Linked DNA regions of Styela clava. The protein of the gene in region 2 purifies or fractionates together with the protein of the main gene of each other region. This does not show direct contact. Links are inferred from orthologs where the notes say so. Each region holds a gene or a part of one and is shown on either strand. Other genes may lie near its edges.

Region 1 (7,828 bases), on a different chromosome or scaffold from region 2:
TTTGGTTGGCAAGGTCATCCAGGTTTGAAGTAAGCAATCTGAAGATGATATTAGTCAATCACATGAGAGAGTATGATTTATGTTATCTAGCTAGCGTACCCTTGGGTGCGTCTGAAGGGGGTCATACTCATAGGGCTAGCTGCCCCGGCAGCAAATTGTACATGTGAGTCTGTTGCTTAGTTTGATGATTTAATTAACAATAATACAAACATTTCACTCTTACTTAACCCTTAATTTATTCATTCTTATGTATAACAACATCTATAATTTGTTTATCACCCGAATTATTTTGAAGTTAGGTATAAGGAGCATCATTACCAGAAGTTCGCCCAGGTAGCAGAAGAGTTTGCCACGTCCTTGAGCATACCTCATGCTAGTTGTGATATCTAGTGACTTGTTTTATTTTCAGTATAATAGTTGATAAAAACCTAGGAAACTACCAAAATGAGATTTTCTTGACGGTTTGTTTAATAGAACCTGAACCAGTTATGAAATGCCAGCATTTAAACAGTGCAAGTAAATCAGAATCTTACTTTTCGGACACTTTTTTTCATTGGCTCCGACTTTTTATCAGGTTTGATGGAAAACAAACCAGGTTTTTCATAAATAAGAAGCCCATTTGGCCCTCGAACATCAATTGTATCCCCGATGCGGAGACTTTCCAAATATTGAGACATTTTTCCTCCTTCTGGGAACTTGGGGTGAACATCTTTGAAATAAACCTATATCAGAAAAAATTTAAAAAAAATTTATTATAGAGAGAATGAGCTCAGAGCAAGGTTATTGGCACTAATTCGGAAGTAAGAAGGCTCTAAATTTCTGAGCAAAATTATTGTCAGTGGGCACTATAACTGTTTTATATTATATTCCCATGCGATACTCGACACTAACTGGTAACCAGATGAGAGGTCTCATGTGGAATACTGTATTGTGGCTCCCATTGTTTCATGTTGATTTTCAGCCTTGTCTACAAACATCGTCTATTCTCCGAGTTAATGACACAACAGTATGGTTCGTGACAGGATTGAGTCTCCAATCTCCATATCATCGATGTTACCTTATTGCAGTAAAGTAATAAAATTACAATTAACATTACCTTGACAACAAGATCCATGTGTCCCTTATCTTTATCAGATGTCACCGGGGTGTATGGCCTAATTATCAATTTTCCATTGATAACAGCTGATAAGTAGATATGCTGTCCGATAGGTAGACCAAGGATATGCTCTGATGATGGTAAAGTGAACACGAAACGCCTGTGGAAAGCGAATGGATTTTGTTATTTCGAGATCATGCAAGAAAGGGTGTCAGGTTCTTAGCCAGAGGGGGGAGGGGTTGAGGGTCAAAGCCAATCTTTTAAAATGAAAAAAAAAAAGATTTTCAAAGCATTTTTCTTCTGTATCATGCAGAGCCTTATTTCATAGCTTGAAAACCCTTAAAACCCAGAATATCCCTCCTGACCGGCTAGCAGATACGGTCTGACTTGGCAAGTATAAATCTCACATCCCTCCCCCTTATGATGTATGATACTTCCTGGCTATGCACCTGATTACAAAGACGAATTAAGAATATATTCTGTATCAGAACCTATTTCAGCACAAATAGAAGCTTAAAATTAACAATATTTGTTAGTCAAATGTCTTTTTCGTCATGTGAATACCTTGTATCATGAGAAACAATTTCTTTATCAGCCAATCTAAGTGGATATTTGACATCAGGATCCAGAAGTGTTATCTTTGGTTGATTTTTCTTTCGCTGCCAAATGAAGTATGCAACAGCACAAACAACTGAAATCCCCACAACTGAGAATCCTAGAAGACTCATCTGAATAAAGAACATAGATCAAAGTTACCCAATCAGGAAGGGATTTACATCTTTATCCCGAGGGAGCCGATAAGACAGTTTAACCATATCGCAAACCACGGCCTCTCATCCGGTTACCATTCCATGTCGGGTATGGGATTAGTTAGTTATTTGTTTTCAGAAGCATGGACTTGATGGCGGATGCAGGCGTAACCGACCAGCGGTTACGTAAACCACCCTACGGCGGTGAGGAGTTCAGAAATCCTCTCGCACATGACCATCCCCACATGGGATTCGAACCTGCGAACCCATGCAGAGTAATCAGAAGTGCGTGGCGAGCGTATTCCTAACGCTTAGCACGATGAGCCACACCGCCACGCCATTCTTGGGCAGAAATCGGCTCGGCGCGGCGGTGTGGCTCAACAGGCTAAGCGTTAGGAATACGCTCGCCACCGCACCTCTAATCACTCTGCGTGGGTTCGCAGGTTCGAATCCCATGCAGGGATGGTTATGTGCGAGAGGATTGCTGGACTCCTCGCCGTCGTTGGGTGGTTCACGTAACCGCTGGTCGGTTACGGCTTCCTCCACCACCAAGTCCATGCTTCCGAAAACAAACAATACAGTAAAACTAATCCCATACTCGACTTGGAATGGTAACCGGACGAGAGGCCGTGGTTCGCCATATGGATGAGCCGTCTTATCGGCTTTCCTCTCCCCCGGGATAAATATGTAAATCCTATCCTATCCTAAATTTTGCTTAGAATTTGCTGTCCTAGTATTACTACTAATATTCTTCATTTCTTTATTAATATCATAATTGATATCGCTTACTTATTCTACTACCAAAACTGTATGAAAGTATGAGTGCGACTTGAGCATAACACAGAGCAGCAGAGGCAGGGTTTTTATGTTTAGTTTTTATGAGTAACTAGGAAGGAAAAAAAACATTAAAAATAGGTGAAAGGAGGAATTTAATGAAAAAGATTGGTATTCACTGACATAGATGGTTGGTAAATAGGTTCATTTCTATATTTTTAAAGCCAGGTTATTCTAACTGGGGAGGAATTCCCCCACTAAGAAGATTTTATTGTCTTACAGGAAGAATATCTACTTTGAATTTTGGTGTAATTTTCAGACATCAGGACATGGAATAATCAAAACAGCAAAAGGATTTATGAAAGGGCCTCACATTCACAAATACAGAATTGCAAAAACTGCATATCAGAACGATAATTGCAGATACAAATCTTTTTAATATGATCTAATTTCCGAATGCAAAACTGAAAAGAAAGAAACCATTTCCCTATTTATCTTGCTTAATCAATTAACTGGCAAAAGTCTACGGTATACCGGTACCAGCCATTTAAAATGTAATAGATATATCGCTCACTGTTGGAGAAGGCTTCATACGGCAATCCTGATTAGATGTGTCGAAAAAAAACGAACACTCAGTACGGTAGGTCACGTTCGCATCAAGCAAATACAAGAACCGCTGCAATGCAAACACCAACGAAGTTATCGAGTCAAAATTTCAAATTGCAGTGCGTTGCGTCACTTTCTAATAAAATAAATAGATAAGATATCAATCTTTAATATTAGCCACTCTTTTAGTTATTGCACAATGAATTTAATACCGGTACGAGTAATTGTGTGAAGAAAATGGATAAAGTCGTTGAAGAATGATAGTTGTGCAAAAGTTATGATAGGTTCGAAGGTCACGAGTTCAGGTCGGGTCAATCTCGTCTGAAAGTTACTCAAGTATATCAGCGATTTATTTTATTTCTGGAAATTTTCAGGTTTCCTCTTGCTGTCTTGACTCTTTTGCGTTTGTTTTCACGTCGTTATGGTTTTTAGCCTGCTGATAAGTTTTGAATTTTAGAGATATAATTTTTTAATTTTGTGATTTGTTTCAAATCATATCGTATTGAATGATAGCTAGATAAGATGTTGTCTGACATTGATCAGGTGATGAACTTGCTGACCTGTAGGCCTACTGCTGTACTGTGTCCATAAACAAACTTTCACACTTGCCGTCGTCTTGTGTTTTAGTTTCGCTGATAATGAGACAATATTGTAATAATTCAAAGGCTAGATAGATAGAGAATTACTACCGGTAGGCTACCGGTATTTCAGCAACTTTCAGTAAGTTTCCTTTTTAACTGTCTTTTTTTTAATTAAGAAATGTGTAATGTCTGAATATATTCTATAAAGTTAAACATATAGCCTAATTGCATTTCTGACCGTCATATATTTTAAGAACACCACTCGTCAAAATATAAATAAAGTGCCGTACCGGTACGGTACCGGTATCACAGCAATCAAACAGACAATAACACGGTGATCGCAAATTGGTCGACAAAGATATTATCGACGTATTTGAAATGTGCACCCCCTATTCCCCCTCCTTTAAATGTTGGAACGCAAAACTTTAAAGATGGTTAAAAGAAACACAACTCTACCCACCTGCTGACCTGCCAAGTTTCATCTTTTTATCTTTTAAATTTGTATAGATTTTCAAGCTTTTTGAAGGAACAATGGGTACCGGTAGTTGGCGATATGAAAAAAGGGTTCGTTTTTTTTTCTTCGGGCGGGTTTTCGATCGTAACTTTTTTGTTTGTGGATGCATTTTAGTGTAATTTCCCAGAGCTACGAGGGACAAGTGGACGAAAGCGCGTGAGGAATATCGTCATGGTTCGTTAGTTTGATGGCCGCAAATAGGTCGTGGCCGCAAAGTGGGTAAGCCATCCTATTTATGATAGTTGACATGAACCCATGATAATACTATAATACAATTCTGAGGTTGATAAGACATAGCAGGTTACTGCTGTGCTGACAGATTGAAGTTAAAACTGCAGGATGTTGACCGAACCAGGTCAGTAAGTCTATTTTTTTTCCTATTCCTATTTTTTTCATTTTACTTTGATCGCTTCAACTCCAGTAGCTCTGTGGTCTAACAGTTGAATCTAAACTATGTTGGTGTTCTATTTGATAGATCTCTGTATAAGTCTCTATTCCAGTATTTCCACCATTTTTTCAGAGTCTGTGAAAATAACATTTGTTAATTTTAGTTTAAATAATATGGCTTCTTGATAATCGCTTCACAATTATTCCTGAATTGATGTCACTAACATCATTTATAAGAGATGCCGTTCCCACTCTTCAAGAAAAAGAAAAGCATCAACATCAGAGTATCCACTTTGGATGCGGATTTAGAATTTACGTAAGAAGCACAATATGGTACTCCAGAAGTATGCACACCAAGATGTCGCACAACCTGACCTAACCAGTACACACATACTATGTTCAGGTTGTGCGCCATCTTGGTGCGCATACTTCTTGGGGTCCCACAATATTATTTTACTAATTATTCACCCTATCAATCATTTGGTTAAATTGTTGGTGTTGGAAAATTCGACTTTACTGGACAACTAACGAACCAAGCGATTCCAAATATTCAAAACTTAAAGATGGTAGCCGTTAGAACCTTAATGAAATTTATATTTTTTTCAAACTTATGAGTCATTTTGCTGCTTCATTTTAAATGATGCGGACATTTTTTAATAAAATATGAGAACACTTTATTTCATCATAAGATCATTATTGTCAGCTGTTTTATTTTGCAAACTTTGAATGCTAAGATTGCTTAGTAAATTTGAACTTTTTGAGTAAGTTGTAAAGTTTGTAACAATTTCGACTTATTTTATTACCATTGAATATCTGAACTTATCTCAATCCTATTGAAATATATTCTTTTAGGGTCTCAAATCAAGTGAAAGCTCAAGTTGTATTTGATTTGATATGTCGGACAATCGGTCTGAGAGAAACTTGGTATTTTGGTCTCGCATTTCATGATGTCAAGAAGAGGTTTACATGGATAAAACTTGACAAAAAGGTGACAAGAAGCTTTCTTTTTTTATCGAGATTGTTGAGGAAGAGCTACAATTCAATACTCCCGAAGTATGTAAACCGGAACGTAGTATGTGTACCAGGTTTAGGGTTAGGATATAATTTCAGGTACAAATACCACAGGAGTCACTTGGCTATTCCCCGAACTCGTTGAAATAAACTTATTGTCTAACCCTAACCTGGTACACACACTACGTTTCAGTGTCTGCCATCTGGGCACATACTTGGGGAGTACTTACAATTCACTTTGAAGTGACAGCATTGACTTATTCCTAAACCACCATAGAAATTTTCACAATGAGAGAACATATAAATTATTATTATTTATATAAATTCACACAGATGAAATTTGATAGGTAAAGACGTAAAGTGTTTATTTTCATACAGATCTATTTTTGGTTTTATTGGATTGCAGCTAACTTTAAAATGATGTCTTCTGTGCCAAAATCCACTTTGAAAAATTGCCTCAATTGTTGAGTATTCACTGGGCAAAAACCGAATAAAAATAAGTCCATGTATCGATAACAAATAACTAGTTATGAAAAATTGCCATACTCCATATGGAATGGTAATCGAACGATAGTCCATGGACGAGAGATTTTCAGAGATTTATTTTCTTAACATTCTCATGAGGGATATTATTACCAATCATTGTTTACTATTTGTTCGTCATTCGTTTACTAATCCATTCTTTATATTCAGCTTCTGAATCATGCAATTCCAAAACCAGTGAACGGCGACAAACTTGAGTTGAAGTTTCTCGCGAAGTTTTATCCTGAGTCAATGGAAGATGAACTTATACAAGAGGTCACGAGACACCTGTTCTTTCTGCAGGTAATATAGTGTTATTGGATAAGACCTATGGATCGTGTTAGTGTTTTGTTGTTATTCTTATTTGTTTTTTTCCTCAATAAAAAATCACTTCTCTTCGGATACTGGACCAATTGCTTTGAAATTTCCAGTGGTTGTAGATTGATTTTTTTGCCAGAAAGCTATTTCGGTACTTCCATTTATTTCAAATATACCGGTGAGCTGCATGGAATTCATTTTTTGTGTGCTATGATGTCATCCGAATTTGCCACTATGTGTGGCTACATGTCCATATATTTGAGCATAGCTCTTTTGTTTTGCTCTAATCATGGTTCTATTGCTTAATGCTATATTGTTTCACTTGATTGTAGAACATTTGCACTCGACTCTGACTCAAAATTCACTGCCATGTAAAAAAAATCATTTTGGCTTTATCTCTTGGTTCTTTGTTGATAAAAATTCATCTCCAACTTCTTTTTTAGCTTTTTATTTAATTAATTATGACTATAGTTTAGTATTAATTAACTAATTAGTATTATCAATTGTCCATTTATTAATCTATTAATACTATAAGGCTGAGCGAGCTAAGCTAAGACTTTTCATTGTGAGAATTTTTTAATTTCTTGTGTATATCGAAAAACTATTTTTTTTGTGTGGCTGTGCTAGATGGTTGGTTCTAGATATTCCATATTCATAAATATTTTAACATAACTAATATCGTAGTGTATCCAGTTTACCACTCTGTTTAGATACTTCCCCGTTCAGCATTCCCTTCCTAATTTATTTTTCTAATGTTGGACTATATTTACAGATTCAGCATTTAATATTGTCTGAAGATCTTTACTGCCCTCCAGAGGCATCTGTACTGCTTGCCTCGTTCGCTGTTCAAGCAAAGGTGCGTGTTTTCATTGATATATTGATAGATTTTGTATTTTGTTGCATCGGTGAACATTTATTCTCAATTTGGCATAGGATAGGATAAGTTGGTTTAGATCAGGATTTCTCAAATTTTCGATTTCACTGAGCCCATGAAGAGGTTGACTCTTATTTATGGAGCCCACAATATATTTATTAAAATAAACACAAACAAAAAATACATTGTTATTCTTTGAATCATGTTTTTGAGAAACTTATGAATAAAGTCATATTTGAACATCCGCCTTCTTGCCAAATTTCAACGCTACAGTTGTCAAATTTTATTGATGCCGTTTTTGCTTCTTTGGATAGTTATTAAAGTTAGCCAAAAGTCTCACGGAACCTCGGGCTTCGTTTGCAGCACTTTGAGAAAGTCCCATCTCTCTGCAAACCT
Region 2 (8,023 bases):
ATTAAAATAACTATGAAACAAACCAATGAAAACGCATTGTTTTGAAAGTCATGACAAAAGACAAAAAAAACTGAGGATGCAAATTTCAAATAAAAGAATATTTAAGCTCAAAACAATTTGATTTACTTCATTGCCGATTATAAAAATTTCTTCTGAGATGAGTAAAGCAAACATTATATGAAGTGTTCAATCATCATTATTTGGGGAAAACCACTTGTTAGAGCCCAATACTGTTGTTCGGTACTATTAAAACAATGCCGTAATTAGAACAATACTTCTTTATTTACAAAAAAATTCTGCACAAAACATTTCGTACGACAGACTACAGACATTGGAATAACTGCTTAATAATGGATATTCTATAGTCTAACAATTGTCCTCCTCTTGTCATGATATATTTTAGTCACATTGAAAAAGGAAAAATTGGGAAATAGATATTGTTAATACAGTGTTAAGCAACACTACCCAACATCTCATTAACAAAAAGTCATATAACAAACTAGGACTTTTTACTGTGGGACTGGAAACAGCAATACATTTAGATCACAGTTGAACGAGGGGTATTCACAAAAAAATTATTACAGTTCAATTGTTACCTTATGAAGCTGCTGTTGTATCTGTGCATTCATCTGTGACTGACCACCTAGATTCATGCCTACAATTGATGCAAATAGAATAATAGGAAAAAAGGATAAAAATTTGATATTGTATAAAAAGCAAATGATAATTTGCATGGAAATATTAAAAAAAAGGAACCTTGAAGTCTTGGGTCTAACCAGCTAGTGGTCCGTGTTTCATGATTTATGAAGTATATTTCACCCTGTGGTGTAGTTGCTTGTTCCCAACCACTCGGAAGAGGTTGCTGCACAACTAATTGCTGAAATGTTTATAGCCATTGATTAGTTTTATAAATAACAAGGTGTATTACTGCCTTTCAGCGTCATCTTGGGGCGATGCTGTTCTCGCATAAAAACGTTTAGCGCTGTGCAAATTTTGTAGCCATAACTTTTATTTAAGCTATTTTAAGGTTGCCGCTGACAAGTAGACCGAATAGTCATTTCACGGTTATCCTACCATTTGGTTTAAATATTTTGTGATCTTTCTTGTTTCCATTTTGTTATGCTTTACCGGCATTGCTAATAAAAAACGATTTGATTGATTGAACTAATTAAGCTACTATCATGTATTTTAGAGCAGCGGTAATACTGGGTCAAATACACAAATTTCTGGTAATGCGAAGGCCACACTAAATTTCAAATTATGACTCGGTTATGCTATTCTAGATATGATTATTGTTGCACGATAATATTGTTGATAAAATAACACCAAAAAATACATTGATTCAATCATTCAATTCAATTTATTAGTAAATGATATTACATTATATTATTGTTAACAACTAGAGAAGAACGTTCCAACTTCCGAGGCTTAAGTTTTTATAGCAATGATGCAATATGCAATCACTTACACCGATATATTGTCAGATCTTACCAAATCATGCAAGCAAAATACAAGCTGATGCTGTAAAACGCATGGAGCAAAGATGTAATTAAAACAGCCATAATCTCCAACTCGATATACGATTTATGTCTGCACAGCAAAGAATAAATGATGTAAAAAAATGTGATACCTCAGGCTGTTGTACACTATTAATATGCATCTGAGACTGTTGATGGTTGACTGCTTGCATGTTATTGGCATTAACTCTTTCTTGTTGCTCTTTTATTACGTCAATTCGTGGGTCAACCCAGGTAGTAGTTCTGTTTGTGTGACTGAAAAGTGATTATAAAACAAATCAATGTACTGGCAGAGTTGAAGACTTATAAATTTATATCACACGAAGCACTCAGTACTGGTACTATAATAACTTGCAAGAACCGTATTATAAGATTTATACTTATCACACCAACAACTAAAATTAGAAACAGACTATATTATGTTCCAAAACCATGTTAGATTCATGAAGTGCAGTTCTTCAGACTTGTTCGTTTAATTAACAAGTGACAGCAGGATGTGTTAGAAGTGCATTGTTTCCTCAATTGGACTATTATATTGGACTATTATAAGTATCTTAAAAGCACCTAGAAATTTGAAAATTACTTCATAAAAATGAAAAAGGGTATTTCTTGTAAAAAAAAGTAAAAATTAACTTATTTACATACTTCATGAAATAAGTTTGACCGTCCTGAGTTCTCGCGAATTCCCATCCCTGTGGTAATGGCATATCAGGTGGTATTTCAATATGATTACTAGGTTGCTGAATTTTCATCTGCATATTTGCGTTGGCTATTTGCAAACTTGCAGGTGATGACTTGGATCGGGAGTGCGCGATTTGTGGTTGTTGCAAGGCAAGGTGACTTGGCGAATTTTGGAAGGGTGAGTGTTGCATTGGACCTGGGGTAAAGTTTCCAGATCGGGGTCCAATATTATTATTCATGTGTGTTTGAGACTGCTGTGGAAGATTATTCGAAGATAAATTTAAACCGGATTGATGAGATGCACTTGAATCTGTACTGGAGCTCCGTGAGTGATTGACTGGTGTTGAAACTAGCCCACCCATTGAACGAGAGTGTGCATGCATCGGCACATGACGTGGTCTATCCGGTTGCTGAAAAAATGACTTGGGAAGTTTCCTATACTTCATGGGAAGGGATTTTGTCTTTTTATTAGGATCCAAAGCAACATTGAATAATTGATCCAACTCATTTGCAGAATCCTGACGGACATGAAGGATCTGACTATGGCCGGAATGACCTTGTGTAATAGTAGTTTGTATTTCAGGGTCATTTTCCTCTTCCTCCATATTAGACATAGACATATCAAAAGTCAACTGTTTTAAACTAGGATTATTAAAAGCTAGGAAGAATAAAATTCTCTCAACTTTGGACTGAACTTGAGTTCAATGTTGATAAAAAAAAAATTGTTTTAGCCTCAGAATTCACCAGGGAAGTAGTGATATGTGAAACGATAAACTTGGTTTCATCTATTTCAGTATTTGTATTCTGAACTATTGTAGCTGAAAACAACATAGGGATTTTATTACATGAGTTTTGGAATGTGTTCCAGAACCAATATATGAATAAAAATAGGAGAATGGTCCAATGCTAAAGGTATATTTTGCACATTAGAAAAATCTCATCTAAACAGACTATTATTGCTATATATCATAAAATACCTTGGAAAAAGCAATAAGTTTTTACTATAAATTAAAATTAAACATCAAAATAAACATAAAATTTCTTATATGTGCCACTACAAAAAGCTGATAGTATATACTGCACCTCGGTTATGTATGTTGGATAGGCCTATACATGTTTTAGGTTGATTATTGCTCTATTCACTGCTTAATATTGCTTACACATGTATTGCCCATTGCAAGATATCACAGCAATAATTCTAATGATAATAAATTTAACTCCTTCATGTCACATAAAAAGACCTCAAATTCGATTCGAACAAAAAAACTGATAGTACGGTAAGTAGTAACTTTAAGTACTGACAATTGTCTCTAAACCAGGTTATTAACCAAAGGTAAGCCATTTGTATTTAATTTGCATGAGAAAATTTGCTTTTGTTTAACAATAATAGCAGTGACCATTAGCATTGGTAAATCATGCTCACAGGCATATATGTCAGGAAACCATCACATTTGGATATTAATGTTGAAATTATTCTCTGAATGCTACTATTTTCATATAAACTAGCATTATAGGTTCAGAATTGAAAGAAAATAAACTTTGCACTTTCAATAATAAACTAGATATAACTAAAATAGGGTATATTGGCTCAATATTCTCCCCATTTCTTCGTTCTATTTGTCTTGCACATACCATAATCCAGTAATTACTGAATTATCGGCCATGCTGCCATGGGATTAGAGCCTATCAATGTAGTCCTAACGCTTGGCATGGTGCATGTGCACCAACCACTGAACCACAGAGCTTATCACAGTGGAGATTTTTTTTATTTACAGCAGGAACCTGATTGATATTCTAAAAAATTTTTATCACACGTCATCTTATGGTGGTTCTGCATAAGGATTGACAAGTGTTTTTGACAGAATTTATAAACAGATAACTAAATATAACATTCAGACATTACAGCATTATTTAGCTATTCCTAATGTTACGGTACCGTATGTTATTATATTTAAACTAATCCCAATGTGAGTGAAAATCAAGGGCTAGTTCACTAAACGACGTCAAGTACCGGTACTTCTAGTTCAGTACCGTACCGTACGGTGGTACGGTAGTCAGCAGTCAGGTATTTGGCATGGCGTAACCATTTTCAGATTTTCGCATAGCCTATGTCATTTCTAACCCTCACCTGGCTAAATTATGTCACTACAACACAACACCTTAAACGAAATCAGACTGTAAGAAGAGTCAGTGAATAGGTAGCCAGCAACTAAACATGTTTACGAAAAGACATCGAAATCGGCAACACTTTTCCGTCACAAACAAGACATCTATAACAGTATAAGCCAATCGTCAAATGTAAATGTCGCCTCCCCCAATGTCCTGCGCCACTAGCGTTGGCGGGTATAATTCCACACCATATAATTTAAAAAGAGATTTTTTTCACAAAACAACATTTACACCAACACCATAATGAATATTAAAGTTCTAGAGTTCGAATAATATCTTTTAGCTGGTGTCAGTTGGCAAACCCGATGAAATTCATCGTGGATTGTGATGCGCTGCGCATAACTTTTTTCAAGCATTCATATTTATAGTAACGGTAAAGTGAAGAAACGATGAAAAGATAAGGCAAGTCATATATAAAAAGAAAGAAATGGAAATGCAAAATCATCTTACCTTGAAATTTTATTTCACATAACAACATTACCACAAACAAGTAAATATAAATCAATATGAAAGCTCTACCCGTCGAATAATATTGCCCATCATGTCCCGCTGTTTTCAGCAAAGTAATGAAAAAACGATAAAAACTTGAATCAATTCAAGTATAAAGAAAAAAGTAAGTCTACAATACTTCAGAAACTGATCAAGTTGATGACATCGGGGCAGTTGCGTGCCTAGAGGGGGCGAAAGGGGCAGTCGTCCCAGGTAGCACGTTCTAGACCAGGTGGGTCAAACTTGCGGCCCGCGGGCCGCATGTGGCCCCATAGAAATTTCAATGCGGCTCTTGAACGCTTAACAATAATTGTTATTTCTCAAAATTTTGAAATCATTGTCCAATTCGTCACTTTTCCATCAGTATAATGAAAAAATACAATAGAAGTAGACATAATCAGAATAAGAACAGCATTCAATATGACTAAATTTAAAGATCAACTTCGAACCATGAAACTGTTGCAGTTACAGCAAGTACAGCTAAATCAGCAAAAAACCTGCTTCAAAACAATCTGTGAAAGTAAAGTTTATGATTTTTTGTAATAAATACAGTAAATTGCAATAATAGTGAAATGCATGAAAATAATATGCAAATGGCATTTGAAATTTAGGAAAATAAAAAAACTTCATTCGGTTGTTTAATTACTTCACATATATATATATATATGTCACAAACTACACCTATCTAAAATATGCTTTAAGTATACATTATCAAAATATATCAAAGTGTGTTTGCGGCCCTTTGCACAATTCCCAAAATGCAATGCTGCCCTCGAATACCCATGAGTTTGACACCCCTGTTCTAGAGGACAGCAGAACCGAGCGGTAGAGTTTGCGTTATTACACATGTTTTTCTCGATGTGTTTTTATTGAATTAAAAGCTGACAATATGTGAGTGACTGACTGTGGTGATGGTGAGTCAACAATAGATGTTTTCCCGACCACTGACCCCAGAAAAATCACTCATATATTCTACAGTTGCAACATTTTTGGTGCTTTTAATGATGGTTTCGCCTTAAACTGGTTTACATGTTTCAAACAAACATTTTAATTCAAAATATGCAACCCTGTTATTTAAAAATACCGGTAGAAAAGTTGAGCCTAGTCTGTCAAGACTAGTTTTAGACTAATTTTTGATTAGCAGCAATTAAACTATAATAAGTCGCAATAATCATTGAGTTTGTACTGAAATTTGCGAAACATAACGAAAAACGAATAGCATGCAAAAACGAGGTATGGTTAACAACCATGCCAGAAAATCTGTGTATGTGGCTACTAAAACGTCTACTGTTACGTCGCTTTTCCGAAATGGAAATGTTTGTTGCTTAGTTTGATGATTAATTTAATAAAAACAAACGTTTCTATCTTAGTTGACCTTTAATTTATTTAGTCTCATGCATAACAATTACTATAATTTGTTCGGTCCCAGAATTATGGGAATAGGGGTATCTTTATCAGAAACTTGCCACGGGCAGCAAAAAAGTTTTGCACAGCCTGCGTCGAAGTCAAGTGAATGTTAATGTCAGACAAGCCTGAATGATTATGGAATTTTTTTTCTAGGCCACAATTCCAATTTACAAAGATAAAAAATTAAAAAGTATGATGTTCACAATATCAAATATGTTGAAATATATCAGAATAAATATTTACCCTGTGATAGATATTAAACAGTCTTGAAAAACATTCAAAACTAATTAAACAGTTTTAGAAAACCTCAGAGATGTTTTGTTAATTCATCATCATATGTTGTTGTTGAATATAAATTGATTTATAATTGAAGGCAATGATCAGTACAAATGTAACGCATTAGGTTCAAACGTAATTACAAATTACCTCTTACGTATTACAAATTTCTTCGATCATTTTACAATGATTTCACAAATTACTATCCACATTTTTTTTTTAGTTTTAATAGACCTGGTGGCCCACAGCTTTATCATAATTCTTCAGAAATGTTTTGGGAGGCAATGTGTTGGTCGACTCCAGATTTGATGGAGTTCATGATATTATGATTTGGTCTTCCACTACAGGTAAACTACCGTACTAATTAGATTACGCAGGCGTTCCCAATTCAGCTTGCGTCATACTAACAACGAAATAAAAAATTCGCGGCACACTTATTACAAATGAAAGTTTTTAAATTCCCTATCAGAAAAAATTACTTTGGTTTACTATATACATTTTATATACATCCATTTCTAATAACGATCGTTGAATACTCGTTTTCTGAAATTGATGAGAGAAAATCTAAATGGTGTCAAAGTTTAATAGTAAAATTATGAAATCTATATATATAAAAAGAAAAAACGTGAAAAATTTTAAACTTAATATCATTTTCAAGATTCCAATTTCTTAACTGCTGACAGGTTGAAAAGGATTGTTCCAGTATTTTAATAGAAACGATAATTTATCCCAAAACAGAAATTTCCCGTAGTTTCAGTGTGACTAATTACCGAACAGTACTATATAAACAAAGTGGAATTGGTAAAATTGCAATCTTTCCAGAATGTTGCACAATACATCACCTATCGGTGGACATAAACTAATGTATCTTCATATGTATGTTACCATACTACTCCAATTACTGATTGCGATGTAATAAAGTTCATGATGATTATTGTGTAAAAAGCTCAGGAAGTTTCTGAAAATTTACCGTTTAGGTAACCCTGGATTACTGTGATACGACTTTACCGATAAGTGAAATTGTCCATCCCTCAGTCGGAGCAGAGAAAATTCACCGATTCATGGCACGCATGCAACTAATATATCTGTGACACCGGTATGACACACTTTGCATCTTTTCAATGTAAGGTATTATTGTATACGGGGATAGGTAATTTTTAGAGCTTTAAAATAGACCAAAATTCACACCGATGCTCCACAATTAAATAAGACGAATAAGACCATATTTATTCCAGGAAGAGAAAAAGCAATAAGACCGAAGTAATAAGAAAAGGAAATTACACACTTTAAACTCTCCATAGTAGTAAAAAAATTGACCGAACCAATAAATTTTATGCCCACTTACTGTGGAGCGTATTGTATATATATATATACATATCAACGTTTTATGATTTATTAGAGCTTACCAACTTCTATTCAATTAATCACTTACAATTTTGTCTTTGGTCTAACCATTTTCCCCTCGCTTGTCGTTTGTCTTTTAT
Region 3 (7,427 bases), on a different chromosome or scaffold from region 2:
TGCTAACTCAAGTCGGCGATCCTATCGGCCAAGATTGACACAAGTTTGGTCGGGTGCCGGTGGTATTCAAGTCGACGATAAATCAAAATAAGTTACTGCATTTGGTAAGACACTTAATCATATATGGCCGAAATATTGAGAGGAATTGTGAAAAACATTATGAGCAAGGCCAAGTCCGGACTGATATATAACGATAAAACCGTAAACAGAACATCAAGATTTTGTAATAGAAAATGGATCTCGCACAGAATAAACACACTGGCTCATATTTGATTATATATGATAGCAGTTAAATTTTCAGCGGTCCGCGAGGAATCCGTCGTTTTGCTGTTTCTCTGCCGTCTCAATCGCTTTACCGATGCCGAGAAGACGAAGTTGCTTTGGTTCATTACGCAATCTCTCTTTTTTCGCCATATTGCTATTTGATAAGCGCGACATTAATTATCACGGCGAGGTATTGGCGCGAGTGATCAATCGCTCTTTTCGCTTATTTGGTTCCAATTCGTCGCGAAAGCTCTTCGTTAAATTTCACAAGATCGTCGTGTAGAAAGGTTATGGATATTTTCCTGTTTATACCCCAAGTCTGAAATAAAACAGCCAAAAACAGTATGATATTCTATGTTCATATATCAAGTGTTGATATTAACAATAAAGAATGGTTAAGCATTGCTAATCCACACTTGGTGGGGGATTCCCACTATTTAAACGCGTGACTATAAAATAGAATAAAATAGAAACGGAACATATATACCATAAGTAACGGAAAACTGGAACAAGTAAATAATAAATAGAAGTAAAATGGATACAAATGTTTGATAGTTCGTGTTTGATAGATTGATCTCCTGCGTTCATTAGTCATTTCACCCGAAGAAGTTGAAACCGGGCGTGTTAGCGTCCATCGGTCTTAACACAATTCTTCCCCCTATCTACGGTTATTATGTACATTGGCCATGGCCATGCTAGATAAGATGCGAGAGAAGTTGAAAGCAGGTGTGTTGGCGTCAACCGGTCTCAACGCAATTCTATCCCTTATCTACGGTTAAGTTGCGGGAGAAGTTAAAACCAGGTGTGTTGGCGTCAAACGGCCCTACTCAGTTCTTCCCCCTTAACTACGTTAATAATTTACATTGGCCATGCCAGAGAAGTTGATAATAGGTTACTAAATGGCAACGCGTCATGCCTTCCTTCACCTACGTAACAAGAGAGAGAAAAACGGCTGCGAATACCGGAACTCTAACTTTTTCTACTTGTTGAGCTTTCATTTTTCGCAATAGACGAAATTGACTGCTTTGAAGAAAGCTCGTTTCAATGCAATAATTACGACTTTACGTAATTCGTAACTTCCCTTCCGTAACTCCAAATAATTACGTAATTCCGTAAATCCGTAAATTACGTGCAAGCCTAGTGGGTGATGAGCTTACTGTGAGTTTGGAAACACCGGAACCTTTCCGTTTCTGCATTGTCTACCCAATATATTATATTACACCCTTGGTGAGGTGGTGGTGATGAGCGTGTCCGGTAAATTCGCCGCATGAATTTTAGTCGCATAGGAAAATTCGCGGCATGAAAAATCGCCGCAAGAGAATTTTGCTGTAAAATAAGTATATATTTGTGATAGCATGAAAAATCGCCGCAAGAGCATTTTGCTGTAAAACAAGTATTTGTGATAAGGTTAGGGTGTGCTCTTAAATAACGACGCTTTTTTAAATAGAAAACTGTATTTATCACAAATACTTGTTTTCAGCAAAACGTTCTTGCGGCGATTTTTCCTACGCGACGAAATATCCTGCGGCGACATTTTATACGACGAATTTTCTTAGAACCGGTAATGATATGTGAACCTACGATGGCATCTACCGCTTGCACCACTAGGCCACCGCGCCAACGTCGTGTTTTATTAATTGATTTCACACCTATTAAGCCTCAGGGATGCACGTTGAATATATTTATTTGATGTCTCCGAATCAATATATCATTTGTTTTCTGTATTCCTTCACAAGACGAATAAACAACATACACGTATATTTTCAAGTCGAATATTTCTTGTAATTATATCCATGGCAAGATGCAATCTTTGGAGTTATATTGTGGCGGTGTTAGAAATATACAAAGAAATATGAGAAAACAAATTGACATCTTATTAGATCACTTTTAATTGCGGATAAAAACGAAGATAGTATTATTTGAGATGGAAAATCTCGTGAACGTTATTTGCAGATTACAGATTTAAAGCGAATCGACAAAATCCTTCAAGAATAATTTTAACGGTTAAGAAGACTTCAAGATTTTGTCGACCAAATTAAAAAGTTACTGGGTTTTGTTACAATAGTAAAGTCCAACAGTTCTCATTCACATAGCACACACATAATTGAAGCACAAAGAACGAAATCATACGACACAACAATAACAACACATTGGTGTCCTGATTGCCATTACAAGTCTATGTGGTCGAATCCTAATTAATTCATATTTTATTATGGCAACGACCACATTGGGTACTTTACTTGGGTGTGATATTCCCTATTAGTGACCGTTCCATTAGGTTACGGAAAGCCGCTACTTATTTTCATAGAATCTCGGTTGTGATTGTGTCAATAAAATTGACAAATGATAACCCAGTCTATATTCCGGTATTTGCAATATCTACCGTTAATGTCTCAGTTTCCTACAAACAAATGTAATTTTTACAAAAAATACTATTTCAGATATTGCTACACAGTCTCTAATTTTTACATGGCAGACAATGTCAGCATCGCCAGTTTCAATCTGCCAGAATTGTCTGTTAGGCAACTCAATATGAGTTGAGCTAATTCTGGCAACACAATCAAACTTCTTGAGCGTTCACAATTAAGGAAAACTGGTCATAAATCGCTAATCCTCTATCAATTAGTCGGCGATAATTACCCTCGTTGACCAACGGGGATTTATTCCATTTATTGAACGGCACATTGTGAACGTAAACTCTGGTTGGTTATGACTTCTTTCGTCATTCAAATCTTTGCACATGGAACGGTTAAATTAAATTCTTGTGTCAAAAATTATTGCATCTCAATTTCAGAAAACACAAAACAATTCACAAAATAAACATTTGCACTCTTTGAACACATTTTTCACTTCTGGGTATTTTACAAGAAAATTTGTCAAACCATTTGGGGGGATTTATCAGAAAAGTCACGACGACCAAGAACTATACTGATAATGTACTACCAAGAATTATAGTGATGAATTTCGCGATAGTAAATATCGATGGACACGCGATTTGAAGCAGTCGCGTTCAGTATGATAAGAAAAATAGCTACAGGGTAATAATTTCGCATAACTGAAGTATTGAAAAATTTTAGCATAAAATGTGTTTTGCTAATGTTTAAGGTACTACAATAACATGAAAGAGTTTCAAGGAAAATTAAGAGCTTTAAAAAGTTCATTTTAATTGCTATTTTTGTGGAAATATATATATGAATGGAATTCAGTATCAGCTGTTCCTCTCGCCCTCTTGAGATTATACAAAGGTGGTCGCTAGAAACACAGAAATCAGCTACCGTAATACTTTTTTACAAATAATAACGTTTACAAAGTTTTTTTCAAAGACATATGTTATATTGCACTCATAGATGCTCGAAATGTCCGTCCGTGCACATCAGAGCAGTGTTATAAGTTATAACCTAGAAGTCCAAGCTTGTGTAGCGTTTTGAAGGTTAACTTGTGGGTATCGTTTCAATTCAACCTATATCTATACGCATTTTATTCGTGATCTCATCTGACTTTCAAATTTTCTGCTACTCTAGGAACCACCCTCTAGTTTGGCGATAGAGAGCTGCTGAGAAGTCAAGTCTAAGTTTTTGTTGTATTGCTGAAAGCAAACGGTTCCCAATTTTACTCAAGGCTGTCTGTCGGTCGGCTATTTCTGTAGGAATTATTAGTGTATTAGGTTGCGACGGTTTAGAATTCATTCCAGCATAGTATGATAACAGAATAAGGTCAAGTTTATTTCGACTCCATAATCAGCATAACTGGTCATAAAATGATTGATAAAAACAAATAAACGAAAACTAATTGTGAAATAAGGGGAGCAAACAAAACCATTAGCATGAAAGTACCGTACCGGTACCGTATCCATTCCATTGGTTCTCGTGCTTGTCCGAAGGCGGAAAGGTACCGTACCGGTACCGGTAGGTATACAGGTATTGATAGAGTTGTGGCCACTGACATGCTTCAGTAGCTAAGTAGTGTGAGCTAGCATTATACTGTTATACTGTTATGTGACCTCACAGGCAATATCAAAAGTGCAAGATGCCAAAATGTAAGTAACGTTAGTCTACTACTGTCAACTGTACTACTTGATACCAGTCTTCAACAGATTCTGAGAATTGCAAATAAATGCTAAAAATACTAAATTTTCAACGCATATCTTTCCTAGATCATATTTCAGTATTCCTAATGTTTTAAGGTATAAAATGTTCTGCCATAAGCTACATTAATAATAAACATTAGGTAATAATCCAAATATGAATTTCGGTATGGATGGAAATGTCATTTCACCGTCATCTTGTTCTTCTTCGTCATCATCAACTGCGTCTTCTTCTCCTGTTATGATACGAGGAGATGGATTACCACCATATGGATCTAACGCTATGAGCGCTTCTGCGCGATTACCTACCGATGACGAATTGAGATTTGAGGGTGTAGAAATCCTAATACAAAGGTTACGAGCCTGTGAATCTGAACATAAAAAACTTCTATCAGATCGTGGTCGGGTTATGAAAGATGTAAATCGGCGATTACAGGTTCATCTTTTAGAAGTTCGTAGTTTAAGAGACATTAATCAAAAACTTCAGCAAGAAAAAGAAAGATTAACTACAGAAAAAGATGAACTAGGTGGAATGTGTTGCTTCCTTGATGATGATCGAGACAAAGCAAAGAAAATGGCCAGAGAATGGCAAGTTTTCGGACGTTACGCCACTGGAGTTTTACAAAAAGAACTTTCTCAATGTCACGGTAAAATCAGGGATTTAGAACAAAAACAACAAACATTATTATCTGAGAATCGAAATCTCAAAGAATTATGTTTGCTTCTCGATCAAGAACAAGCGGGAAGCAGGACTTCTATTGATAGTCAGAGTAGTTTTCACGGACCTGTGCCTGGATTACTTGGTGTCGCTGGCACAAGGGATTCTGGCGATGGAAGTAGTAATGGTTCAACTGCAAGTAATTCAAGTCCCGATCACAGGTTACCGACAAATATTCTTCAGAGAGAGACTAATTTAGGTAAACTATTTATGATATAAGTGATTAATTATCATATTCAAAAACATTTAAATTTTACGAGTATAGTGATATCAAAACGAATTTATCATACTTGTTTCACGTCAAAATCAAAACTAACTTGTCTTAAATGGAATTTACAAAATATTCTGAAGCCAAGGTCTGCAAAGATATTGTTTCAATTAAGGATGTCCAAATTTAAACACATTTTTGAATCAATTCGAAAAAAATTTATATCAAATTCTCAATTTTAGGAATAATTGTCAATAGTTTCACAGCATCGCCTTTAGTTAATTTTTGAAACCTGAAAAAGCCATTGTCACTTTGTCTGCAACTTTCCTGCATTACCAAAACAAACTCAATAAATATACATCAACCTTCCATGTGTTATTTGGTGATCCTGACCCAAATCAGAATATTCATTATTCAGAATAGATTGGTTTTGGCATTCATCTGTTTCGAATCATTCTTTTATTTTAGTCCAGCAACCTTGAGTCAACTTGTTAATCACCTATTTTGAAGTGAAATTTAAAGTAAAAAACAGTAACAGTCTATATGAGACAACCTCATGTATGAGTTGAAACTTGTTACGTTTTTTGATTCTTTAATTTTTGGGAAATTTTGTCAAATAGAATAATGAATAGTAAATATCTTAGCAGTATGTTCTTATTGATATGCACAATTCTGGTTGGTACTTACTTTTATGTTACTCATTTGTTCTATATTATCTCACTACAGAGGGCAAAGAAAGTTATGTTCGTTATTTGGAAAACAAGGTACGACATTTAGAAGATGAAGTTAAAGGAAGATTAAAAAAGGTGAGTGGACAACATACTGTTTTATTCACAATTTTTTAATTTTATTTTCTATTTTGTCACATTGCCATCATCTGTGTACTTTAAATTTCATTGAGATTTCATTGCAGTAACATTTTAGGTATTAACTATAATATTAGTATGGATTGTTTAACTCATTCTAAAGATACTTTGTCATATGTAGAGTTCAAGTAGAATTTATTGTATGGCATATATAGAGACAAATACTGTATATTGCTGTCACAAGCATTGTAGAGCATTATTCATATAAACCTTATGTGCGAGATATTTAGATGCATTTTATGTGGATAACACCAAGATTTGAATGTTCTAAAATAAGAAATTTTGATTTCAATGCTACTTGAATATGAAAGTAAATAACCAATAATTCAAACATTAATTAGGCCAGTGAAACAGTTAAGTCATGACATAGAGTGCATGAAATATTCTGGTAATATTTGAATTAATACTATCAGGCACCACCCACTGTATCTAACCATCCTCACGGAATCTTCAACAATATGTCTCCTGGTAAAGTACCGTTAGAAAGAAGAATGAATCCTCAATCTGCCTCACCTATAATACATTCGCATTCATCTTCAAACATATCACCTGCTCATTCTGCATTATCTCATTTATCAAATTCTTCATCATCTCTCAGCGGAGGCGGGAGTACATTAATGGTAAATTAACTTGCATTTTTTAATTAATACTCTCGCTGTTCTAAATTTTTCATAACTGATATCTTGCTTGTAATTATGAATTGAAAACTTTGAAAAATAATGTAGGTAATTGTTGTATCAGTGTAAATTACTTATATTCATATTGATTTTTTCATACTACCTGTCAGACTCTATTTAGTATGAGAAAGGCGAATTCTAGTTCTCGGAAGTAGTTTGGTATATCTTCTGTGTCCAAAATTATTTTTTTTTCTATATGCTTCTCCCCCCCCCAAGATAAATCTGTAAACCCTATCCTTTTACCGTTTTTCTTGTGCTCATTTAGAGTTATTAACTTTCCACTCTGATTTGTGCTTTTGTAAAACTAAATTTTTAAATAATTTTTACCATATTTAGACAATTCCCTCTTGATTTATTATAATAACTATTTTTCTCACATTTGGAGTATAGTTAGAGGTGGTAATTTGGCTTCTCACTCATGACATGGGCCAGAATTTTGTCCTAAATTCCAAGATTCGTAGGAAATTTAGTGTCTATTTAGTTGCATACTTAGCGAGTTCAGTTGCATGGTTTTTGTTAGGTTTTGGCGTTATCAAATGACAGTATCTGATTTGGAATAGTTTATGAATTACTCGCCACAGTTCCTATTAAATTGCGTACAATTCTGACA
Region 4 (7,311 bases), on a different chromosome or scaffold from region 2:
TCCCTGGCCACACCCTTAAATCAGACATCTTAATGTTGGTCCTGAGTTCCTTGCAGATCTGGCAATTCTGTGCTGCCTTCAATGCTGAACAGAGTACTGAAGGCATATACAAATAGCACAATCGAACACCTTGCTTGGCCTCTCACAGATGAGTGACCCCTACTACAATAGCACTTACTCTTAATAACTCAGAAGCAAGCACAGTAACTGACGTTGTTCCATCTCCTACTTCATCATCTTGAACTTTGGACATATCTGGGAATTAGAAAATTAAATTTTTTTATTTAAATGATGAAGCAATAGCAATTAAGTTCGTTTCGACGCAATGAAGGTTTAGGAGCAGTGCTATCAATCACACTAAAACCTTATGTACAAACTGCTGATTTATAGCATAATCCTTGTTTGAAGATCGAGAGGTGTTAAATTTAATGCAAAGATTGAAATCTAGAATATAATTTGCATATGCTCGGTATCAAAACCTATAGTAGAGCCACTCAGCTCAAACAGAGTAGCTGAATCGAATTATTGAAAACGCGCCGTTGCATATCTGATTATCGTTATGCGAGATCAGATTCCACGTTGTAAGAGATATTTATTTGAGAGGGTTCTTGGACTCCTTACATTCGTATGGTGGTTCAATGACAACCGATCAATTACAGCTTCCATCACCATAAAGTCAATTACTGTGAGTCAAACAATAATATACTCGTATTCCATACCCGGCACGGACTGGTAAACAAACAAGAATATCGGTCGGAGACCGAAGACTTATCGATCGAAACTGCGATTTCGATTCATGACTATAGTGACACCGCGTGTCCCATCACTAATTAATTATTAACTCGCTAATTATACGACATAATTCATCCAAAATTAATAGGCTTCTGGTCCGAGATATGATGAATGCACATGCAAAATTTGGAGCAGATTCAACCACGCCTTCGTGAAATATCGCGTGCATCTAACAGACAAACAGACAGACAAATACTTATCAACATACTTACTTAAGTAATGAGAGGCTGAGTTTTATTGTATAATGAGATAACCGAACATGGCGATATTTCTATGTGCAGGTTCTTAGGTTTGATTCTTTTGTGGATGTTCATGTAAGAGGGGACACTATACTGAACAAGGTAGCAGGAAAATAGGTTGCCAGGTAATTAATAGGCAGTTTTATCGGCTTTGGCTATCCCCAGTATAAATACAAAAATCCATCCGAACTTACCAACTAAGACTTTAGCAGCAGGATTATCAACTCCGACAGCTTTCAATATTGTTGCTCCATCGTTTGTAACAGTGATGCCAGGTTCCAATCCTTCACGTCCAGCGCTCATCAATATTTTATCCATTCCCTTTGGACCTAGCGTTGATTTCACGAGATCACCGATAGCAATTGCTCCAACAAATGAAGACTAAAAATTTAAATATGATTGCTGATTTTGAAAAATTCTCTCAAATCGAGGTGGATTCACACAGAAGTAAACAATACTCAACTTCGAGCAAAAATATGAATGGCAACTGAAATACCATGGGTAACCGAAACCACAAAGTAAGAAAGACGAGCCATTTCTTTGAAAAGAATTTGCTCAAATCAAGGTCACACTCACTCATACAGAATTAAAAGAAACTCATCTATGATTGAAGTTATGGTCGTTATGAAGTTACTGAATTGCCAAGAGCTAGCGAAACTATGGATTTATGGCTCATAAGTAAAGGAGACTCATCTTTGAGTCAAATTAAGAGCGACCGGCGAAATACTAAAAGTTACTGAAAGATTCATGATGGTGTATTCCAAGCCTGAGACTTGAAGCAGTTTCAAAATAACCAAGAAATACCATTGAGATAGACAGTTCCAACAAATGAAGACTAAAAATTTAAAGATGATCGCTGATTCCATAATTTAAGATTCAAATTAAGAGCGACTGTTGAAATACCGAAAGTTACTGAAACTATATCAGAATATAGATTCATGATGGTGCATTACATGAGCGAGCAGTTTCAAAATGATCAAGAAACAGACCTGAGGTAGAAAATTTTACTTAACTGAAGCTCGTGGGATAAAACCTTAAATTAATTTGGCTTAGACAAATTATGAAAAAATTCCTACCATAAAGGAAAATTGATTCAAAAATAATATTTGAAACTGCATATAACTGAATATTTCTTATACTCACCAATCTTGCGGTTTCTGCCTTTTCTTCATCTGCTCCAGCATTATAAATTGAGATTGGGCTTAAGGACATCTGAAACAGTAAAAATGAATTGGGTCATGCAAGGTAGAATACATGAATACAATTTTCCATATATATCTAACGTCTCATTACGTAATTTTGGGCGTTTGCGTAATATTAAAGGTGTGGTCCACTTTAGCAATTTTATTGTCAATCCAGTACGGCACACTACAAATCGGGTGACATTGTCCCGTTTCAGAGAAACCCATTTACAAATGATTAGACACCCCTCTTTTGGGAGACGTCAGGACATTGTTGTCCCTCAATATCGGTAATAATACAGTATAATGAAGTTGCGCAAAATACTACAAAGAAGCGCAATCTAATAACTAACTCATCATTGAATTCCTTGGGGAAAAAATAATCCGATTTACCGAAAGAAAAAATATTTTACCGTAGCATTCGAGATTTTTTAGTTAAAAACGGCAATTTTGATCATGTGACGACCGCGATTAATTTAGATTATTATTGAGACAAGCATGGTGTGATATGACGCATCTGACGTGGTCCCAGGTGCCCCTCGTTTGTGAGACACATAGAGTGTTTGTTTTATTGAGCCAAATGGAGGGAAATTCCTGGAATTTGGATAGTGTGCTGTACTGTAATCAGACTTATCTGATGACCGATAGGTAGTAATGTCATTACAACTATTTTTCAAATTCAATGATTCCGTGTCCAGGTATTACAGTATTATTAGTATCTACGTACTCACCATTTTGAAAGATATTTGTTTGAGATCACAGTTTGTAAATAAATTAGATTATGAATCTAAAAATGAAGACATAAATATGGAAATACATGATATATCGAAATTTTATAGAATACTTTCTCTAAAAAATAAAATTGAATACTATCTTAAGAGGATAAAAATATAGCTGTTTAAAAACAGCCAGTCAAATACAGAAATGTTTTAAATGAGATGGTGCTAAATTTGAGAAGCTCTGATAGAAAATATAAAACAGTAGTACAGTCTGACAGTCGTACAGTAGTAGGAAAGAGTTAATTTTATGCATCTTGCAAAACAAAACATATGTTACCGATATTGTTTCAAATGCATGAACTATCGTGTATCGGTACTACCGTAACTACACAACTAACAGAGTCAAAAAGTAAAAGTCTGGCGAATGGATTGCAGAATTAGGTGCGCCATATACAGGGTGTCCAAAAGTTAGTATACACTTTTAATTTGCTCTTCAGGTACTCATAATAGCGCATTCATTTTTTAAGGAAACATGGTAATGGTATGGATCAGTCTGTAAGTAGTAAAATTTATGTATTCGGTATTGTTTGCATTTTTGTATGTATGTATGTATGTTTATTAGTCTCGTAGTAGTAAGCAGTATAAAAAATTGACAATATTAATATTGGAGACGCAACGCATGCACAAGACCGTACTGGCCTAAAACACAAATGTGCGACATGCGCTCCTTTTCATCAACCAGTCACCCCACAGAATGACAAGGAGATTAACCCAAGAAATGAGATGCAAAATTGCTGTTAGCAAGAAGCATATAAATCAGTAAGGCAAACTCAGCGCCTCTTTAACAGAGAATTTGGAACCTCAATCTCCAAATGCAGAAATGCATCAACCAACGGAACTTACAATAGTTAGCACAGGTATCGTATAGCTAGAAACAAAACAGTCCTGGTATGTAACCTAATAAGCTTTAAAATTTCAACAACCAACAAACACAACTTGTATACACCAGACTAGCCTGTGAAAAACAAAAACAGAAGGTCGTTCGAAAACGCCCAACCGCCATTACAGCGTTACGGTTACTAAGATCGCCAGTCGAGAACATTCGGCGAGGGGCCCATGCGTCGATGAGAAAGAAGTGACCGGAGCATTTGTTCAAATAATAAAACTCGGAAGCTAAATTCTCAAAAATTATCATAGTGATAGCTACTATGAATATTGTAACTCCTTAAATACTAGAATTATTAATTTTAAAATACCTAATTTAAAAATATTACGTTGAAAGTATATTTCAAAATTTGCTCATACACTCGAGTATGCATAAACAGACTCCTAACAACTATATTATATACTCCAGTTCCTATTTCAAGCGGTTTTATAACGACTGGTCATTGAAAGTTTCACCCGGTTTCACAGCGCTTCTTCCCAATTTTTATTTTTAACAAAACGCAGAAATATTTGCGCAGCGTATGAACAGTATAATTAAGATTCAAATTGTGTAATACGAGAATGCGATACCATAATAATAATAATGCAACGTCAGACACCTTAATTTTCCATGCTTTCAGATGCTGGCTCGGCGATATGGCGCATCGTGGTGAGCGTGAGAAACACGCTGGCCATCGCGCCCCTGATTACCAAAAGTGGGCTCGCATCTTATAGGAAAATAATTATGTGCGATTGCTGGACTACTCGCCGCTGCAGTGTGGTTCTCGTAACCGCTGGCCCGATACGACTTCCTAAACCATCAAGTCCTTGCATCTACACTAATTCCACACCCAATCGGACGAGACGCCGTAGCTTGTCATATGATTAAACCGTATGGATATATTTTAATTGGAGTGTGTGCAAAAGAGGGAATATATCAGTCCAAACAATTGAGATGAACTAGGGTTACAATAGACCATGGACCTGAACCACGCTTCGACGGAGATCGTGTGCCAAGCAATCTTCTCGTACATAATTATCCAACACAGCAGGCGAACCCAAGCGGAGTAATCAGAGGGATAGGATTTACATATTTGTTCAGGGGAAAGAAATGCCGAAAAGACAGTTTAATTATATGGCAAACCACGGCATCTCGTCCGGTTACCAGTCCATTTCGGATATGGGATTAGTTAGCCAGTTATTTGTTTTCGGAAACACGGACAGCATTATGCTATGCGATTTTTCACAACGATAACAACAATCAATCCAATCCCACCGATGAAAATAACAATAATTTGTAGAAAAGAAAAATTAACCACGGATTCGCTTCGTATAATAGGCATGCAGTCTAGAGCAGTGGTTCCCGAACCGCGGCCACGGGCCAATTACGGCCCGCATAACGGTCAATATCGCTCGCCAAACTTTATGATTCAACACTTTATGATTTTTTTGCGTTTTAGATACCGCCAAATGTTACGTCATTGTCACAGTTCGATCAGTAGTATAATCGAAACAATTCAATTATACCGGTATCGTAAATATTTTTATCGGAACCGGTATCATCACCTTGAGGGCGCTCCCCTCTCCTGACCCGCGAATATCCTTTCGCTTCCAATTTTGGTCACCGGTTAATCAATCGGGAGTAGGGGTGCTTATTGGCCCTAATTGCTTTGTTGCTATCTGAATGGTAGGGTATCCTCAGAGCGTCGATCGAAAGATTAACTGCATGACGTTAGAATTCAACGTTTTTAAAAAGTCCTGGAGCCCAAATTTCGGACTGAAACTAGTGGATGCAACTAATTTGAAATTTCGAACTGAAACTAGTAACAGTTGTGCCGATGCCACAGTTTTGATGGTGCCAATTCAATTTTGTTACCAATTTTGTTCTGTCGGGAGCCAAAGTTGATGTTGAATATTTCTGATTCAAATTTGTAAGATGGAATGAGAATTTCGTTACAACTGTTGCAAGGAGGCATGTACTTCGATTTCGACTCTTTTCTTTGACGTCTCTTCTTCCCAAGAGATACCCTCTCTTGATTAAAATTTAGGTATACGTGAAAGCAGTCAGTTTGATGAAATACAGTGACGTCAGAATCAATAAATTTCAATGAACATATGACGTCATAGGCAATACGACGAGTTCGCGATTGACGGCGATACACTGTGATGTGTTAACGGTATTCACGCCATATTAAGTTAACTTGTCCTAGTACAACTCAGTCACAGTGTACATAAGGTATAGAAGTAGGTCACGCAGAGGTAAAGCACTGGAATTTCAAGATCAAATCTATGCCAAAGTAGATATAAAGCTTCAATCAGGTTGGGATTTTCATACTTGTCCCGGGGAAAAAAGAAAGGCCTACAAGATGGCTTACGCGTGTGTCTCACACGTTCTCAAAGTGATCCATAAATAGTACCAGGGCTCCGCGGGATAAACCCAGGGCTCCGCGAGATATTCGTTTACCTGTAACTGTCCAAAGAAGCTATAAATACGTCCGAGTCATTAAATAACGTAGGCCTAAGTTTAATATACACAAAAACATTCATCGGTAAGTAACAATGTTTTTTTTAAAATTTATTGCGGTGTAAATGATACTCACCTCTTCACGGGCTCCAGAATACCAAAAGTCCGGGTCTCGCACGGGTTTAGTTGGCAAGCTATTTGTTTCAGATGCATGGACTTAATGATGGGGAGGCAGTAACCGGCCAGCGGGTAACTTCAGGCAAATGGTTTGAGACTAAGCATGTAACGTGGAAATCAGAAAATTAATAAGTCACTCCAAAGATTTTCTCGCAAATGGCGCAAACCGACTCACACTATATTGTGAATTCAACAAAATTTATAGTTATGTAATATCAAGCATGAACGACATTAAATTTATTTTATTAAACATGTAATATCTTGAGCCATGTTTGCTCATGCATGCTTCAATTCCCTGCTACATTATACCCGACTTCCTTTATTACGTGTTGTAATTTCCTTTTAGACGTCTTCATGGTAAACGAGTTCGTGGATATTGCGTGAAAATATTGTTAAATTTGACTTCCATTCTGTCGTTAATGAGGTCATTACACCTAAAATGTGTACTTTGAGTTCGCCTTCAACAAATCATAATGATGGGAAGAACATCGATTACGTACGTTATTACAATCCGCTTGTATTAAATTTCGATGGAGTAAACAACTACAATAACGTAAAAATTGTCACACTTTTTTTGCAGCGTTGACTGCTACTTTAGATCGTACAGCCTTTGAGCTGAGAACTGACTAGTTTCTGAGATTGGTAGCGTAATTTGTGATCTTGCATGTATGTATTCGCAAACGGTAGAGTAGGGCCTAACAATTTTCACACAATTTTGCAGAGCGTACTGCTACTTCAGATTACAGCCACTGAGCTGAGAACTGACTACTTTCTGATATTGATCGCGTAATTTGTGCTACAGTCGGTATCTTGTA

The links.
Region 1: the proteins of transcriptional coactivator YAP1-A-like (region 2) and merlin-like purify together in Homo sapiens (affinity purification with mass spectrometry; 7 studies listed by BioGRID and IntAct, with this or other methods). This does not show direct contact. The link is inferred for Styela clava from reciprocal best matches to the Homo sapiens genes YAP1 and NF2.
Region 3: the proteins of transcriptional coactivator YAP1-A-like (region 2) and coiled-coil domain-containing protein 85C-like purify together in Homo sapiens (affinity purification with mass spectrometry; 5 studies listed by BioGRID and IntAct, with this or other methods). This does not show direct contact. The link is inferred for Styela clava from reciprocal best matches to the Homo sapiens genes YAP1 and CCDC85C.
Region 4: the proteins of transcriptional coactivator YAP1-A-like (region 2) and T-complex protein 1 subunit beta-like purify together in Homo sapiens (affinity purification with mass spectrometry; 3 studies listed by BioGRID, with this or other methods). This does not show direct contact. The link is inferred for Styela clava from reciprocal best matches to the Homo sapiens genes YAP1 and CCT2.

The regions. Positions count from the first base shown.
Region 1 is NC_135252.1:22,934,552-22,942,379, reverse strand, and holds the start of merlin-like, read left to right. Parts: upstream 1-4,814; 5' UTR 4,815-4,946; coding exon 4,947-5,023; intron 5,024-5,559; coding exon 5,560-5,695; intron 5,696-6,411; coding exon 6,412-6,543; intron 6,544-7,330; coding exon 7,331-7,414; intron 7,415-7,828. Other genes in the region: NADH-cytochrome b5 reductase 3-like, read right to left, coding at 534-722, 1,097-1,256, 1,661-1,824, 3,194-3,211. UniProt on the Homo sapiens protein: Probable regulator of the Hippo/SWH (Sav/Wts/Hpo) signaling pathway, a signaling pathway that plays a pivotal role in tumor suppression by restricting proliferation and promoting apoptosis.
Region 2 is NC_135257.1:9,974,271-9,982,293, reverse strand, and holds the start of transcriptional coactivator YAP1-A-like, read right to left. Parts: upstream 3,018-8,023; 5' UTR 2,819-3,017; coding exon 2,163-2,818; intron 1,773-2,162; coding exon 1,631-1,772; intron 878-1,630; coding exon 757-877; intron 656-756; coding exon 597-655; intron 1-596. UniProt on the Homo sapiens protein: Transcriptional regulator with dual roles as a coactivator and corepressor. Critical downstream regulatory target in the Hippo signaling pathway, crucial for organ size control and tumor suppression by restricting proliferation and promoting apoptosis.
Region 3 is NC_135251.1:11,944,186-11,951,612, forward strand, and holds the start of coiled-coil domain-containing protein 85C-like, read left to right. Parts: upstream 1-4,421; 5' UTR 4,422-4,505; coding exon 4,506-5,265; intron 5,266-6,000; coding exon 6,001-6,080; intron 6,081-6,553; coding exon 6,554-6,760; intron 6,761-7,427. UniProt on the Homo sapiens protein: May play a role in cell-cell adhesion and epithelium development through its interaction with proteins of the beta-catenin family. May play an important role in cortical development, especially in the maintenance of radial glia.
Region 4 is NC_135255.1:22,610,284-22,617,594, forward strand, and holds the start of T-complex protein 1 subunit beta-like, read right to left. Parts: upstream 3,008-7,311; 5' UTR 2,947-3,007; coding exon 2,944-2,946; intron 2,244-2,943; coding exon 2,175-2,243; intron 1,413-2,174; coding exon 1,226-1,412; intron 256-1,225; coding exon 179-255; intron 1-178. UniProt on the Homo sapiens protein: Component of the chaperonin-containing T-complex (TRiC), a molecular chaperone complex that assists the folding of actin, tubulin and other proteins upon ATP hydrolysis.